Linked DNA regions of Macaca fascicularis. The protein of the gene in region 1 binds, or shares a complex with, the protein of each later gene. Links are inferred from orthologs where the notes say so. Each region holds a gene or a part of one and is shown on either strand. Other genes may lie near its edges. The genes, in order: DNA polymerase delta catalytic subunit and POLD4.

Evidence for each region.
Region 2: DNA polymerase delta catalytic subunit (region 1) and POLD4 share a complex: the UniProt entries of both Homo sapiens proteins name them as parts of the tetrameric DNA polymerase delta complex. The link is inferred for Macaca fascicularis from reciprocal best matches to the Homo sapiens genes POLD1 and POLD4.

What each region holds. Positions count from the first base shown.
Region 1 is NC_088393.1:58,312,529-58,320,294, forward strand, and holds part of DNA polymerase delta catalytic subunit, read left to right. Parts: intron 1-592; exon of another isoform or gene 593-607; coding exon of another isoform or gene 608-646; intron 647-761; exon of another isoform or gene 762-952; intron 953-976; exon of another isoform or gene 977-1,093; coding exon of another isoform or gene 1,094-1,168; intron 1,169-1,787; coding exon 1,788-1,928; intron 1,929-2,021; coding exon 2,022-2,132; intron 2,133-2,599; coding exon 2,600-2,791; intron 2,792-2,943; coding exon 2,944-3,032; intron 3,033-3,950; coding exon 3,951-4,067; intron 4,068-4,289; coding exon 4,290-4,403; intron 4,404-4,686; coding exon 4,687-4,834; intron 4,835-7,766. UniProt on the Homo sapiens protein: As the catalytic component of the trimeric (Pol-delta3 complex) and tetrameric DNA polymerase delta complexes (Pol-delta4 complex), plays a crucial role in high fidelity genome replication, including in lagging strand synthesis, and repair.
Region 2 is NC_088388.1:7,020,155-7,028,367, forward strand, and holds POLD4 (DNA polymerase delta subunit 4), read left to right. Parts: upstream 1-4,161; 5' UTR 4,162-4,297; coding exon 4,298-4,394; intron 4,395-4,611; coding exon 4,612-4,701; intron 4,702-4,891; coding exon 4,892-5,003; intron 5,004-5,678; coding exon 5,679-5,703; coding exon of another isoform or gene 5,704-5,743; 3' UTR 5,744-6,150; downstream 6,151-8,213. UniProt on the Homo sapiens protein: As a component of the tetrameric DNA polymerase delta complex (Pol-delta4), plays a role in high fidelity genome replication and repair.

The DNA.
Region 1 (7,766 bases):
GACGGACATTGGCCCCCTGTGCCTCTTTACACCGTCTTCTCATCTTCTCTCTGTGCGTGTCCGTTTCCACATGTCTTCCTTTTTTTTTTTTTTGGAGACGGAGTCTCACTCTGTCGCCCAGGCTGGAGTGCAGTGGCGTGATCTCGGCTCACTGCAAGCTCCACCTCCCGGGTTCACGCCATTCTCCTGCCTCAGCCTCCCAAGTAGCTGGGACTACAAGTGTCCACCACCACACCCGGCTAATTTTTTATATTTTTAGTTGAGACGGGGTTTCACCATGTTAGCCAGGATGGTCTTGATCTCCTGACCTCGTGATCCGCCCGCCTCGGCCTCCCACAGTGCTGGGATTACAGGCATGAGCCACCGCTCCCGGCCCTTTTTTTTTTTTTTTTTTGAGGTGGAGTCTTGCTGTGTCACCCAGGCTGGAGTGCGATGGAGCGATTGAGGCTCACTGCAACTCCGCCTCCCAGGTTCAAGTGATTCTTCTGTGTCGGCCTCCCGGGTTGCTGGGATTACAGGCTCATGCCACCACACTCCGCTAATTTTTGCCTTTTTGTTGTTGTTTCTTGAGACAGAATTTCACTCTTGTTGCCCAGGCTGGAGTGCAATGGCACAATCTCGGCTCACCACAACCTCCACCTTCCAGGTTCAAGCAATTCTCCTGCCTCAGCCTCCCAAATAGCTGGGATTATAGGCACCCACCTCCATGCGCGGCTAATTTTATATTCTTAGTAGAGACAGGGTTTCTCCATGTTGACCAGGCTGATCTCAAACTCCCGATCTGAGGTGATCTGCCCACTTCAGCCTCCCAAAGTGCTGCGATTACCAGTGCACCTGGCCCACATGTCCTCTTTGTATAGTGACACCGTCATGGATGAGTGCCCACCCCAGTGACCTCATCTTCGCTTGACCCCCTGCAAAGACATATTTCCAAATTAGGTTATATTCTGAGGTACTGGGGGTTAGGACTTCAACATCTTTTGGGAGAACATGGTTCAGCCCTTAATAGGGTATATTGCCTTATTTTCCTGCTTTTCTCTATGTCTGGCCAGCTTGGTAATGGAAAAACAAAACAGGCTGGGTGTGGTGGCTCATGCCTGTAATCCCAGCACTTTGGGAGGATGAGGCGAGAGGATCGATTGAGCCCAGGAGTTCAAGACCAGCCAGGGTAACATAACAAGACTCTGTTTCTATTAAAGAGGAAAAAAGAAAAAATCCATTCTAAAAGACAGAACAAACTGTTAGGACCCCCAGTGGCTCCAGCTGTACATTCCACAGTGTGGCACTGATGCCCGGGCCACTGCCTCCTCCTCCCCTTCCCTGGATGCCCCTCACCCTCTGCCCTGGCCCCAGCTCAGGCTTCTTCTGGCCTGTCTCCCCCAGGCTGGGCCCCAGCACCCTGCAAGGCGCCCTCAGCATCCATCTCAGCCCAGCTCAACGTCACCTCCTACCTCTGCCCCAACCTGGCCGCCTGCTCACAGTTTCCCCAAATCTTTTCCTGTTTCCTGCCTAGGTGCAGCCCGCAGACACTGGGCTCCGTCCTTGGCCCCCAGTCCATGCGGGCCCCTGACTCTCCCTGTCCCAGCCCCGAATGCAGCTTCGTCCTCCCTCCGGACTCCCTCCTCAGCCTTCAGCCCCCCACACCCAGCCCGAGACTCTTTCTGTCCCCGGGGTTGCTCTCGACCCCCGAGGGTTGCTATAAGGAGGTTGTGGTCGGTCTCGATCTCCGTTCCTCTGGCTGATGTGACACTGGGGACCCGCTGCATACCCTGCCTCTCCCCCGCCAGGTACAAACATTCCCTTTCCTGGGCCGTGTGGCCGGCCTTCGCTCCAACATCCGGGACTCATCATTCCAGTCCAAGCAGACGGGCCGGCGGGACACCAAGGTGGTTAGCATGGTGGGCCGTGTGCAGATGGACATGCTGCAGGTACAGCTGGGCCAGGCGGGAGGAGGGGTGTGTCCCTGTCCTCGGGAGGCCACTGCCCAGGCCTGTAGCCGAGCAGCCCATCCACCCACCTAGGTGCTGCTGCGGGAGTACAAGCTCCGCTCCTACACGCTCAATGCCGTGAGCTTCCACTTCCTGGGCGAGCAGAAGGAGGATGTGCAGCACAGCATCATCACCGACCTGCAGGTGCCTGCTGCCTCCCTGACCTCTCCCCCCGACCTCTGACCTCTGACCCCCACCTCACCCTTCCCCAGCCCCTGACCTCAACTTCACACCCCCACGTCTGACTTCACTTTTTGACCCGCTGTTATGACCTGTGACCTTACCTGCCACCCACCTTTTTCTGACCTCAGACCCCAGATTTCTCTCCACTCCTGTAACCTGTTACTATGACCTTGGCTCCGCTTTCCAGGCCTGATCACAGGTCCACAATGGTCTTCAGGCTGCTCCCTCCTCCTCCCTCTGACCCTGTGGACTCCCTGACCCCCAACACTACCTCCATCCCCACCCAGACCTTGATAGCTTGGAGGCTGCCCCTGCCCGGCCCTCCCAGGCCCTCTCCAGGCTACCTCACCCTGACCCCCACTTCATCGTCCTGCGCCGCCTCCCACCCCCAACTCCTGGTCCCTGACCCCATCTGTGCCCATCCCCAGAATGGGAACGACCAGACCCGCCGCCGCCTGGCCGTGTACTGCCTGAAGGACGCCTATCTGCCGCTGCGGCTGCTGGAGCGGCTCATGGTGCTGGTGAACGCCGTGGAGATGGCGAGGGTCACTGGCGTGCCCCTCAGCTACCTGCTCAGCCGTGGTCAGCAGGTCAAGGTCGTATCCCAGCTATTGCGGCAGGTCAGTAGCCGAGACCTGTCCTCACCACTCCCCACCAGGCACGTCTCTGGTCCCCTCCCGGCGATGGCATCCTGGATGCACTTTTTCTCCCCGCTCCCAATCCTCACGGCCCCACCTATACCCACTCCGTTTTCCACCTTCTCCCCTCCCAGGCCATGCACGAGGGGCTGCTGATGCCCGTGGTGAGGTCGGAGGGCGGTGAGGACTACACGGGAGCCACTGTCATCGAGCCCCTCAAAGGGTGAGGCCCCAGGCTGGGTGCAGTTTGTACCTGTAATCTCTAGGAGGCTGAGGTGGGAGGATCACTTGAGCTCAGGAGTTTGAGAACAGCCGGGGCAACATAGTGAGATCCCTGCCCCACAAAAAATTTTTTAAATGAGCCAGGCCCACGGTGGCTCACGCCTGTAATTCCCACACTTTGGGAGGCCGAGGCGGGCGGATCACGAGGTCAGGAGATCAAGACCATCCTAACACTATGAAACCCTGTCTCTACTAAAAATACAAAAAAATTAGCCGGGCGTGGTGGCAGGCGCCTGTAATACCAGCTACTCTGGAGGCTGAGGCAGGAGAATGGTGTGAACCCGGTGGTGGAGCTTGCAGTGAACTGAGATCCGGCCACTGCACTCCAGCCTGGGCGACAGAGTGAGACTCCGTCTCAAAAAAAAAAAAAAAACAAAAAAACAAAATAATAATAAAATAAATAAATAAAATAAAAGAGTAGATTAATTCATTTTATATATATTTTATTTTTTTATTTTTATTTTTTTGAGGCAAGGTCTCACTCTGTTACCCATGATGGAGTGCAGTGGCACCATCTTGGCTTACTCCACCTCCCAGGCTCAAGCGATCCTCCTGCTTCCGGCCCCTGAGTAGCTGGGACCACAGGCATGCACCACCACACCTAGCTAATTTTTTAAAATTTTTTGTAGACATGGGGATTTGCCATGTTGCCCAGGCTGGTCTGGAACCCCTGAGTTCAAGCGATCCTCCTGCCTCAGCCTCCCAAAGTGCTGGGATTACAGGAGGGAGCACTGCTCCCAGCCAATGAATGATTTTTTTTTTTTTTTTTTTTTTTTAAAGGGTGAGGCCACAAGACAGGGCAGGGGGCGGCATGGGAACTTCTAGCCCTGACTCCCCACCGTGGCTGCTCCCCTCCCAGGTACTACGATGTCCCCATCGCCACCCTGGACTTCTCCTCGCTGTACCCGTCCATCATGATGGCCCACAACCTGTGCTACACCACGCTCCTGCGGCCCGGGGCTGCGCAGAAACTGGGGTATGGTGCCCAATTCAGCACGTGTCCCCCGAGGCCCACCGGGGCCCTCCCTTGAGGGGCTGAGTCTGGCGGGGGGAGATAGGCACAGGCCCAGAGATAGTGGGGAGTGAAGGGTTGCTTGAGGGGCCTGCATGTGCTCATGGCCAAGGCCAGGACCGTAGGGCAGAGGTGGGGCTGGAGGAGGAGGGTGACCGGCAGTCACCCCGCTGTCTTCCAACCCAGCCTGACTGAGGATCAGTTCATCAAGACGCCCACCGGGGACGAGTTTGTGAAGACCTCAGTGCGGAAGGGGCTGCTGCCCCAGATCCTGGAGAACCTGCTCAGCGCCCGGAAGAGGTGAGCCCTGGAGATCCCCTGCTTGGAGCTCAGACCTGCTGGGGCCTCTGGGCAATCCCTGTCCCTCACTGGGACACCCCAGGGCTGTCCGGCCACCCTGCCCACAGCTGTGTGTGAATTAGCACACGGCATCCCCTCCTGGCAGCTTCCTTTCGCCCCCTTGGCCAAAAGCTTCTGTGCAGTGCACAGCACGCCCAACTGTACATGGCACCCACTTCCAGAAAGGAGCCCTGACCAGTGCCCGGGCGCCACCTGAGTGTGCTTTACCTGTGTTCCCTCGCAGGGCCAAGGCCGAGCTGGCCAAGGAGACAGACCCCCTGCGGCGCCAGGTCCTGGATGGACGGCAGCTGGCGCTGAAGGTGAGCGCCAACTCCGTATATGGCTTCACCGGCGCCCAGGTGGGCAAGTTGCCATGCCTGGAGATCTCACAGGTGAGCACTCAGGCCCCTGGCAGGCAACTGGGGGCAGGTGGGCCCCCTGTGTAGGAGACCAGGGCTCCATGTTGGGGACCTGTATCCAGAGGACTGGACACCCCAACTCACTGGCCTTCTAGAGAGAGGATGCCAGCGTGGCTTGAGCAATTGGTCCATTCATTCACTCAGCAAATGCCTCCTGAGCACACACTGGTCAGGGCTCTGTGCCCTGGGGATACAGAGGGGGACACAGTGGATGAGAGTCCCTTTCCCTGTCAGCTCGCAGCCCAGTGGGGACACTGACAGGTCCGTGGTAAATGTGTTCAGGACACAAGTGGAGCTACAAGCTTTGCAGCCGGATAAAGCGGGAGGTGTGGACTTGGCGGGGAGTGATGGGGCTGGGCAGGACTCACCACTCTCAGTAGGCAGCACTCACGCAGAGGCCAAGGGACGTGGGGAGGGAAGCCATTCACCGTCCTCACGGCAGCATCCCGGCCTGCCTACCCACGGCAGCTCTGCTGCTTGGACAGAAAAACAGATTCTTTGAAAGCACAGAGGGCCTGAGTTTCCAAGACTTTGCCAAGCTGGGGTCAGTGCCTCAGCTCCTGGCATCTGAGGACCTCGGAAGGGTCTTCCTGTCCAGCCTTCTCCACTGGGACTTGGGTCTTGGCCCATTCCAGGCCAGTAGCTGTGCCGCTCTGCTTGGTTACCTCTAGCCACGGGGAACTCCCTCCCTGGCTGGGCACTGCGTCAGTTTTCACAGGGCTCTGGGTGGAAGGCTTAGATGAATTCTCAGTGGGTGGGGCCTTTGCACACACACACCCACCCGCAGTTCTGGGGCCCAAAGACCACTCAGGTTCAGTGATTCACTAGAAGTACTCAGAGAGCTCAGAAAAGCTGGTTCTCATGGCTATGATTTAATACAGCGAAAGGACACAGATTAAACTCAGCAAAGGAAAGAGGTGCACAGGGCAGGGTGTCGGAGGGACCAGGCGTGTCTTCCAGTTGTGCTCTCCCAGTAGAGTTACGGGATGGCCCTCCTTTCTCCTAGCGTTGATGCATGGCCACACACACGCAGCATTGCCAACCCGAGGCTCTCACCCAAGCTTTGGGGTCCAGGGTTTTTCTTGGGTGTCATTCCTGTAGGCATGGAGCACCCTGTGACTGGCCGTAGTGACTCCATCATCCCCAGGCCCCTCAGCAACCCCCAGAGGTCAAACTGATACTGCATGGCCCAGGGCTTCACCATAAACCATGTTAGTGCCAACTGCCTGGTGTGGTTCAAAGTCGCAGGTACACAGACACCTTTTTTTTTTTTTTTTTTTTTTTTTTTTTGAGACAGTCTCACTCTGTCACCCAGGCTGGAGTGCAGTGGCACAGTCACGGGCTCATGGCAGCCTCAACCTCCCGGACTCAAGTGAGCCTCCCACCTTAGCCTCCCAAGTGGCTGGAACTGCAGGCACGCACCACCTATTTTTGTTATTTTTTGTAGAGATGGGGTCTCACCATGTTGCCCAGGCTGGAACAGAGACAATGTTATCAGGCAGGATATTCTAGGGGCTTCGACTTCCAGGAGCCAGGCAAGAGCCAGACCTTTCTTTGCACAAAGTGAATCGCTCACTGCATGCCCCCAACTGCCCTCCGCCTTTCACAGTCCCCAGCTGCCTCCCCAGCCTCTTCGTGGAAGGGGGTGGCTGTGTGGACATCAGGCTCCAGCCCTGAAGCAGAGGCCAGGCCAAGAGAGCACGGTTTGGCCCTCCCCTGGGACTGCCTCTTACCAATCTGGTGTCTCTGTCTTTTCTCTCTCAGCTGCTTCCCTCTGTCACTGTTCTGTTTCTGTCTCTTGACCTCTTTCCTTATTTCTGTCTCTCAAGCTTATGGGAGCAAGAGGTGGAATAATAAAAATGCAGTGGGCCAGGCGCAGTGGCTCACACCTGTAATCCCAGCGCTTTAGGAGGCCAAGGCAGGCGGATCACGAGGTCAGGAGTTCAAGACCAGCCTGGCTAGGCCGGGCGCGGTGGCTCAAGCCTGTAATCCCAGCACTTTGGGAGGCCGAGACGGGCGGATCACGAGGTCAGGAGATCAAGACCATCCTGGCTAACACGGTGAAACCCCGTCTCTACTAAAAATACAAAAAATTAGCCAGGAATGGTGGCAGATGCCTGTAATCCCAGCTACTCAGGAGGCTGAGGTGGGACAATTGCTTGAACCCGGGAGGCGGAGCTTACAGTGTGCCAAGGTTGCACCACTGCACTCCAGCCTAGGCAACAGAGCGAAACACCGTCTCAAAAAAAAAAAAAAAAATGATAATAATAATAATAATAATAATGAATCACAGTGGTTCACGCCTGTAATCCCAACACTTTGTGACACTGAGGAGGGAGGATCACTTGAGGCCAGGGGTTGGATACCAGCCTGGGCAACATAGTGAAGCCCTGTCTCTACAAAAAATACAACCAAACAAAACCAGGCAGGCGTGGTGGTGGCTCATGCCTAGAGTTGCAGCTACTCAGGAGGCTGAGATGGGAAGATGACTTGAACCCAGCAGTTTGAGTTACAGTGAGCTCTGATGGCATCACTGCACCCCATTCTGGGTGACAGAGTTGAGACCCTGTCTCTTTTAGTTTTTGTTTGTGTATTTTGAGATGGAGTCTCGCTCTGTCGCCCAGGCTAGAGTGCAGTGGCGCAATCTTGGCTCACTGCAACCTCTGCCTCCCAGGTTTAAGTGATTCTCCTGCCTCAGCCTCCTGAGTAGCTGGGATCACAGGTGCCTGCCACCACGCCTGGCTAATTTTTGTATTTTTAGTAGAGATGGGGTTTCACCATGTTGGCCAGGCTGGTCTTGAACTCCTGACCTCAGGTGATCCACCTGCCTCAGCCTTCCAAAGTGCTGGGATTACAGGTGTGAGTCACCACGCTTGGCCTCCTGTTTCTTAAAAAAAAAAAAAAG
Region 2 (8,213 bases), on another chromosome or scaffold:
CAGGGGCAACTTCTGGGGGAAGTGGGGCTAGAGGAAGCTCTGATGGGAGATGGTAAAATACTCAGACCTTGCCAGTTTTCCACTTTTGCAAAGACTGACCCACCATCCAAGACTTATAGGCTGCCTCATGATATGAGAGACTCATTCAAGCACTGAGCTTACACACACATGTACACACACACTCTCACTTGCCACAGCCACCCCAAATGGGGAAAGGCAAAGGGAGGCCCTCTGTTCCCCTTAACCTAGAGGGCAAGGACTAGTGACTCAGTCCTGGCTGGGCACTCCGACGGGCAGCTCCCTCTCAGCTTCCCCTCTGCTGTGGAGCTACAACTGTCCCTGCCTTTGTTCCCTCAATTCTCAAGCTCCCTGACTCAGCCTCCCCTGAACTTCCCAGCAGGGGACAAAGCCCTTGTCAATGGGGTGGTGTGGGGGCAGTGGCAGTGAGGCCGATCTGGCAGAAAGCTGTAGGGCCCGAGTTCCAGTTCTTTTTCCAGTCTCAACTTTCAGGGTGCCTCAGCCTTGCCAGTTCAGCAGTCAGCTCTAGGCTCCTCCCCAACTTGCCCAGATCTCTCTCTGAGGCCAGGCTGATGGGGTGGAAATGGTTAACTAGAACCTTCCTCCCACCCAACTGGGCAAAGTCTGACACCTGGTGGCCAAGGTGAGGAATGGCCAGAAGGCCCCTTTTCAAGTCTTCCCAGAACTGCTCCAGAGCCTGGATGGCCAAAGTGAAAGAGGAGGTGACTACAGAAGGATGTGTGGAGGGTGGTAGGAGCAGGACAGAAGACAGCAGTGACAAAAAAAACCCAGAGACTCCTTCCTCTGCCCTCAAGCTGCTGCCATGGAAGCACATTAGGCCAGAGAACCTGGACCAGGAGAAGAGGGAGTGTCTGGGAGGGTAGTGAGGGGCCAGGAATGACTGCCTAAAAGGATTCTGGCCCACAGGGTGAGGAATGGGGCCCACGGGGTGTGAGTATGTTGGGGGCGGGGCCAGGGGTATTCTGGCTGCCCAGAATCTCCTGAGTGGGACTGACTTCCAGCTCAGGGTAGGTGGCAGAGCCCAAGGGCCTGAGGAAGGAGGGTACCGGCGAGAGGGAAGAAGAGCTGGATCCATCCCACAGCCCACTGGGCCCCAGGCAGCTGCTCCCCTCTCTCCACCTGCCTCCACCTTCCCAGCTCTACCTTGCTCTCCCCACAAACCTCATGGTGATGAGGGGGAAGGGAATGCAGGCACAGTGCTGAGGCCCCCATCCTGCCACATTGTCTGAGCTAAGCCGGACCTAATCCTTCTTCCCTTGAGTGCAGTCAGCGGTGGGCCTCATCCCCTGGGAAGGTGCTGGGTTCCTGTTTCAGTTCTTTTCTCTCCTGGACCCCCAGGACTCTGGACTTGGCCCTGAAGCAAGGGTGTTGGGTATTATTACCAGGCTGAGGTGCAAAGGTCACTCCTACTAGTCTCATCACCAGCCTCTGGGTGTCCGGGCTGACATAAGGGTCTCAGGACATTCCCGCAGGGAGAGAGAACTCAGCACCCAACCCAGACCTCTGGCCTGGCCATCCAGCCTGAAGCCTGAACAGGCTCCAGGACAGCAGTTTAGGGAATGAGGCCAGGATGCTGCCTGAGTAGGGGAAGGGATTCTAGGCAAGAAGGTACAGAAGGTGGATAGGGTTGGAGAGCAAAGAAGGAAAAAGACCTGAGGATGGAAAGGCCAAGGTCCAGCCTAGTCAGCTGTGCACCTTAGGAATCCAGGTGCTGAGTCAGGGAATGCCAGTTGGACAGGGATGGTTCCAAAATCCCTAGGTGCCAACTCTTCCCTGGGGGCCCAACCCCACTGCCATTTAGGAGAGAACAGCAATGCTGCTTGCAGAGAGTTCCCTCAACTCCAAGCCAGAAAGCCAGGCCTAGGGTGCCTGCACTTGAGCTGACCACTCTGAATCTTTTTCTTGGGTCTGGGGGTAGCTGAAGGCTGAGGGAGACATCTTCCAGGCTGGGTGGGTGCCTGAGCCAGGCAAAGCTGGGGAAGCTGGCGGGGACAGCCCAGCCAACATCTACAGAGTAGCTCAGGATGCCAGAGGCTACCCAAGGAGAAAAGGCAATAGTCCCAGGCGGCGGCAGGAGCTGCTGTGGCTGCCCAGCAGCACACCCCATTTCACGCTCCCTGGGCGGTGGCAGGGCCCCACGGCTATCAGCTTTCAGGGGTAGGAGGGACTTGGGAATGAGGAGGGGTCTGCCCCACCCATGGCTCCCTATCCCTCAGGGCTTGGACTCAGGAGGTGGGTGCCACACACCTCTAGAAACAGCCCAGGAACCCTTGCTGAGGCCCTCTGGGGAGGGGGTAATCAATCCCCCAGAGCCTATATGCCATCCCTACCTAGCATACTCAGTGCCTGACTGGACTCAGCACCTAGGCCCTCCCCAGCCCTGGTAGAGAGGGCCTCCCTGCTTCCATCCCCAACTCCGCAAGGACACTGTCTCCCTGAATGTGGGCCCCACTTAGTTCACAAGGCAGATGGGGGGATTAGAATAGGCCCAGCCCAAACAATACAGCAGAAAGGGCCCTCCAGCTCCATGCAGTGCCCTGACAAGCTCCCTCCTCCACCAGCCCTCCTCCAGGACGCCGATGGGGGGAGCCAGGCAGGACGTGGACCCTGAAGACATGGCCTGCTCCTGTACTTCCCCTTTGGTGGTCTCCTCTCCAGAGCAGCTTCCTCCCTTGTGCCCACAAGTACCAGTGGCTTAGCCCTCTTCCAGTGCAGAGCACCCAGACCCCAGAGCAGGGAAAGGAGGCGGCAGAGGCTTCTGAGCAGGCGGCAGCCCAGGAGTCTGTGCCCCACCCTCCCAGTATCCCTGGAAGGAAGAACCGGATGGGATCTCTGGAGGGTGATTAGAGCTGGGCTGGTCCCTGTGCTGGTTCCCAGACTCCCACTGGCCAGTACTTTTGCCTCCTGCCAGGAAGTTGATGAGGGGGAGGCAGCAGTATGGATGAGTCAGTGATGACAGGAGCCCAAGGGACAAAGGTCATGGGTGGAGAATTGAGAGACATTGTTTACAGCAGTCCACCTCCTCCAGGAGGCCTTCCAATGCTAATCATCCCTGTGGTCCTAACCAATCTCTGACCCACCCTTTTCCTCTTCTGGTAGGAATTATAGCCTCTCACTGACAACTGTACATCTGTCTGCCTTGTGACAGTGAGCTCCTGGGCCCAAGACAGACTGTGGTTCGACTGGGGCCCTGCAATGCCTGTGACTCTCGGCAGTGATAATCATTGAGCTATACTTCCTACTTTCAAAAACTTTTTGACATCTCTTTTAATTAATATGTGGGAAAGTGCTTAGAACAGTACTTGGCACATGGTATGTGCAACATGAGTGTTAGGTTTACTGTTAATATTTTCTGCTCAGATTCACATTATTGTGAGAGGGCAGATTTTGCCAATGAAGAACTGGGGATCAAAACCCATTGTGGTGGGGGAACCAGACCCTTGCTCTGCCTTCCAGTATGGAATCTTCCTGACTGGTGGGGCGGGTGGGGCAGGACTTGGGACCCCAGGAGAGCCAAAACAGCAAACACTTACTCGGACTAAGAGTGGGCAGCATCTTTGGGCACAGACTGTGAGAAAGGAGGTTTCAGAACCCATGGGCTTCTCCAGCCAGGTCTCCTGGGGCCGGTGGGGGTTGGGTGGGAGCAGGGAAGGGGCCTGGATTAGACCAAACTCTCTTCAGACCTCCAAACCTGCCCCCACAACGCTGGGCGGGCCAAAGGACCGAGTGAAGGCTCCAGCTGGGCTCTAGGGAGTTACAAACTGGCCACGGGGATTAGCGAAGCTGAAAAGAACATTTGCCTAGGAAGGGAAAACGGGAAGTGAGAGGCTGAGGATAACTCTCTTCAAGTCTCTCGGGACCCACAGCAGACCAATGGGGGCCGGGGGAGGTGGTGAAGTAGGGGCATCCTGACAGGTCCCCCGCCCCAGCCTGCCCCTCCTCCCGCAGCCCACAGCTGTGGCACCGCCCCACCCCTCACCCTACACTGCCTACCATTGGCTAGCGCCAGGGCCCCGCCCCACAGAGGCGTCCTGCCATTGGCTGAAGTCTTTCCTGTTTGCGCCCTTGTTGGGGTGGGGGAGGCGTCCCTCCCTGGACCCCAGCGACTTCCTCTCTCGGTTTGTCTGGGTCATCTTGTCTGCCTGCCGCTGGCCTGGCCCCGTCTGTCTCTCTCAGCAGCTGTCTTTCTCGCGCCCACTGGCCGGTCTCTCCTCTTCCCCGCAGTCGCCTCCTTCCTCTGCCTGCCTGGGTGGCCGCCATGGGCCGGAAGCGGCTCATCACTGATTCCTACCCGGTTGTGAAGAGGAGGGAGGGGCCCGCTGGGCACAGCAAGGGGGAGCTGGCATCCGAGCTAGGTCTCTGACGTGTGAGGGAGGCAGGAGGAGTGGACACGGAGGGGCCTAGAGGACGTGGGCAGAGGGGCAGATGGAAGGGGAAAGGTGGCCTGTCCTCCCCTCCCGACACCAGGTCTAGCTGCGGGGTGGCAGAGGCAAAGGGGTGGTGAGGAAGGCTGGGAGGTGAGGGGCAGGAGACTGAGGCCAGCCTCGCACTGAAGAGCAGCTGTCATTGCAGGGGAGGAGCCCCAGCCCCGCGACGAGGAGGAAGCGGAGCTGGAGCTGCTGAGGCAGTTTGACCTGGCCTGGCAGTACGGGCCCTGCACCGGTGAGAACCCACCCAGCCCCACGGAGGTGCCTCTCCCAGCCAGTCCCGTCACCCACACGTCTCTGAAGTCACCCAAGCGCTTGCGTGACTCTGACCCTCAGGCACTGTCTCCCCTGAACACACACATTCTCCAGCTCAGACTCTACCCCACCCCCAACAAGGCTCCAGAGTCTTCTTCCTACCCTGGCAGGGATCACACGGCTGCAGCGCTGGTGTCGGGCCAAGCAGATGGGCTTGGAGCCTCCCCCAGAGGTGTGGGAGGTGCTGAAGACCCACCCCGGAGACCCCCGCTTCCAGTGCAGGTCAGAGACAGGCCGGGAGGGCTTTCAGGGGAGCCAGGGCCTTCTCCAGGCACCGTCACCCTGCTCTCCTGACCTGAGGGAGAAATGGATGGAGGGTTGAAGGGCCTTGCTGAACAGGCAAGAAGGAGGACACGCTACTGTAATAATTCTTTTTTTTTTTTGACACAGAGTCTCGCTCTGTCGCCCAGGCTGGAGTGTAGTGGCGCGATCTTGGCTCACTGCAAGCTCCGCCTCCCGGGTTCCCGCCATTCTCCTGCCTCAGCCTCCCGAGTAGCTGGGACTACAGGCGCCCGCCACCACGCCCGGCTAATTTTGTTTTTGTATTTTTAGTAGAGATGGGGTTTCACTGTGTTAGCCAGGATGGTCTTGATCTCCTGACCTCGTGATCCACCCGCCTCGACCTCCCAAAGTGCTGGGATTACAGGCATGAGCCACCGCACCCGGCCAATAATTCTTACCTCCACAAGCTAGTCGGGGGCAAAGGTACACCCAGGAACCAAGGAACTATCTATTTAGAACCAAGGGGTTTCCCAAGGACTATGGGCATGGCCAAGAATAGCTGGTGAAATCAGATCCAGGGACTCAACAACTGACCCTTTCTCTCTCTCTCTCTCTCTCTCTCTCTCTTTCTCTCTCTCTCTGGGATATCCCTCCCTCCCACCCCATCTTCTACAGCCTCTGGCATCTCTATCCCCTATGAGGCACCACGTATGACCTCCTGCCCTTGGCTCTCTTGCTAATCACCCAAGAATCTCAGGACAGAAGCAAGAGCCCATTGCTCCTGCTCAGCTCAGCCCCGCTGCGGAGGAACCCTTGGCAGGCAGAACCTGGAGGTGTCAGAGGCTCAACTCCTCCATCTAACCAGCAGGCTCTCAGAGCCCCCCTGGAAGAGCCTGTGCAGCTGAAGCAGAGTGCTTCTAGATGGAGAGTGGTCACTGGGGAAAAGGACCTGGCCATCACCTTCCAGTACCTGCTGCCTGTCTCCCTGACCCATGGTGTGGCAAGTTAGGCACAGCCAGACGTGGACAGTTGATCCATGAGGCAAAGATGCTGTCCCACCTATGGCTAGGAATCAGAGCAGGACTGGCTGAGCTCCCAGGGCAAGGGGTTCACTAATGCTTACCAATAAAGAATATTAAGCCTGGAATCCTGACCTTCAGTCCTTTACTGTGGCCCTGCTTTGACTGGCAGTCCCTAGCAAGTTAGGAGATGGGAGAACCACCACCACAGTTCTTTTCCTTCAAGAAAGTCCTAGGCCTGAGAGGAAGAAGACATAGACAGCTTAAGAGACGGATCAAGTCCTCTAAGAGCTGAGCGACCTCTGGTGCCCCCTGGTGGCCCACAGGGAAACTACTCACGACTCACCTTCCTGGAGCAGCCAGGAAAAACCTACCTGACCCGCCAGCCACCTGGCTTGCTAAGCAGTGCCCACTTCACAAACATGGGTGCTTTGCCAGAGAAGGACCTTTGGGGTCCATGGCGCATGAAGTCCAAACATATCTATACATTCCCAGCAAGCACCTCAGGCTTCCCACATCAGGGACCACCTTGATCAAAGCAGGGCTGGGGAGGGTCTCAACTTGCAGGACCTGCTCAGACATGGCCATCATCTGAGGGGCTTTGGTAAGAAATTGATGGCTGGGCATGGTGGCTCACGCCTGTAATTCCAGCACTTTGGGAGGCCCAGGCGGGCGGATCACGAGGTCAAGAGATGGAGACCATCATGGCTAACAAGGTGAAACCCTGTCTCTACTAAAAATACAAAAAATTAGCCGGGTGTGGTGACAAGCGCCTGTAGTTCCAGCTACTCAGAAGGCTGAGGCAGGAGAATGGTGTGAACCCGGGAGGCAGAGCTGGCAGTGAGCTGATACTGTGCCACTGCACTCCAGCCTGGGTGACAGAGGGAGACTCCTCAAAAAAAAAAAAAAAAAAAAAAAAAAAAAAAAAAAAGGCTGGGCACAGTGGCTCACGCCTATAATCCCAGCACTTTGGGAGGCCAAGGCGGATGGATCACGAGGTCAAGAGATCGAGACTATCCTGGCTAACACGGTGAAACCCCATCTCTACTAAAAATACAAAAAATTAGCCGGGCATGGTGGCGGGCGCCTGTAGTCCCAGCTACTTGAGAGGCTGAGGCAGAAGAATGGCATGAACCCAGGAAGCGGAGCTTGCAGTGAGCCGAGATCACACCACTGCACTCCAGCCTGGGCAACTAAGCAAGACTCTGTCTCAAAAAAAAAGAAAAAAGAAACTGACGGTGCTGGGGGATGGAGAACTGGCTGGAGCCAGAAACAATGCTCAGGAGACCCGGGGTCAGGGTATGACATGGAGAATAGAGTCAGTAACTGCTTCTGTAGCATTACCTTCATCTACTGTAGCAGCCCTCCATCCTGGGGGCAGATGGAGGCAGCACTAGTAACTTGTTGGAAACAGGCCTAGAGAGCAGCTAAGTGGCCTGCGTAGCCCCTGTCTTACTGAGCACTGATCATGTTTCGGGTACTTTAAATGTATTATCTCGAATCCTCCTAAAAAACCTTCCAGGTAAGTTTTACCGAGAGGGGAACTGAAACTAAGAAAGGTTAAGTAAAGTTGTCCAAAAGCACACAGCAGGCAAGAGGCAGTGCAGTGACCAGGGGCCACTTGCATTAAGCTCTTCCAGTCTATGCCACAGCTCCCACCCAGCTGCTGAGCACTCACTATGTGCCAGGCACCAAAGGTCCCCTTGGGGTGTTACTAATGGTCAGGAGATGGACAAAAACAAACACGTAAGTTAATTATGTCAGGTAGCAGTCAGTAGTAAGCAAAATCAGAGTTGAGATCAGAAAGGGTCCAAGGATGCCAGGGCGCTATGTTAGAGAGACTGGTCAGGGAAGGCCCTCTGCTAAGGTGGCATTTGAGCAGAGACCTGAAGAAAGGAAGGGAGCAAGGTCTGCACCTGAGTGTTCCAGACAGAAGGAGCAACAAGGAGAAGCTCCCTGAGGGAGGAGTGTTTCCAGCCTGTTCCAGGAAAGGCACTGAGGAGGCCAGTGAGGCTGGGGCCCAGGGAGCAAGGAAGGGTAGTGGGAATTGAGAGAAGACAGGCAACAGGCTGGTCCCTAGGGCCATGATAAGAAATCTGGATTTGATTCTGAGTGAGAGGGGAAGATACTGGAGGGCTTGAGGTCAATAAATGACAGAGTCAGCTGATGTTTAGAAAACATTACTCTGTTG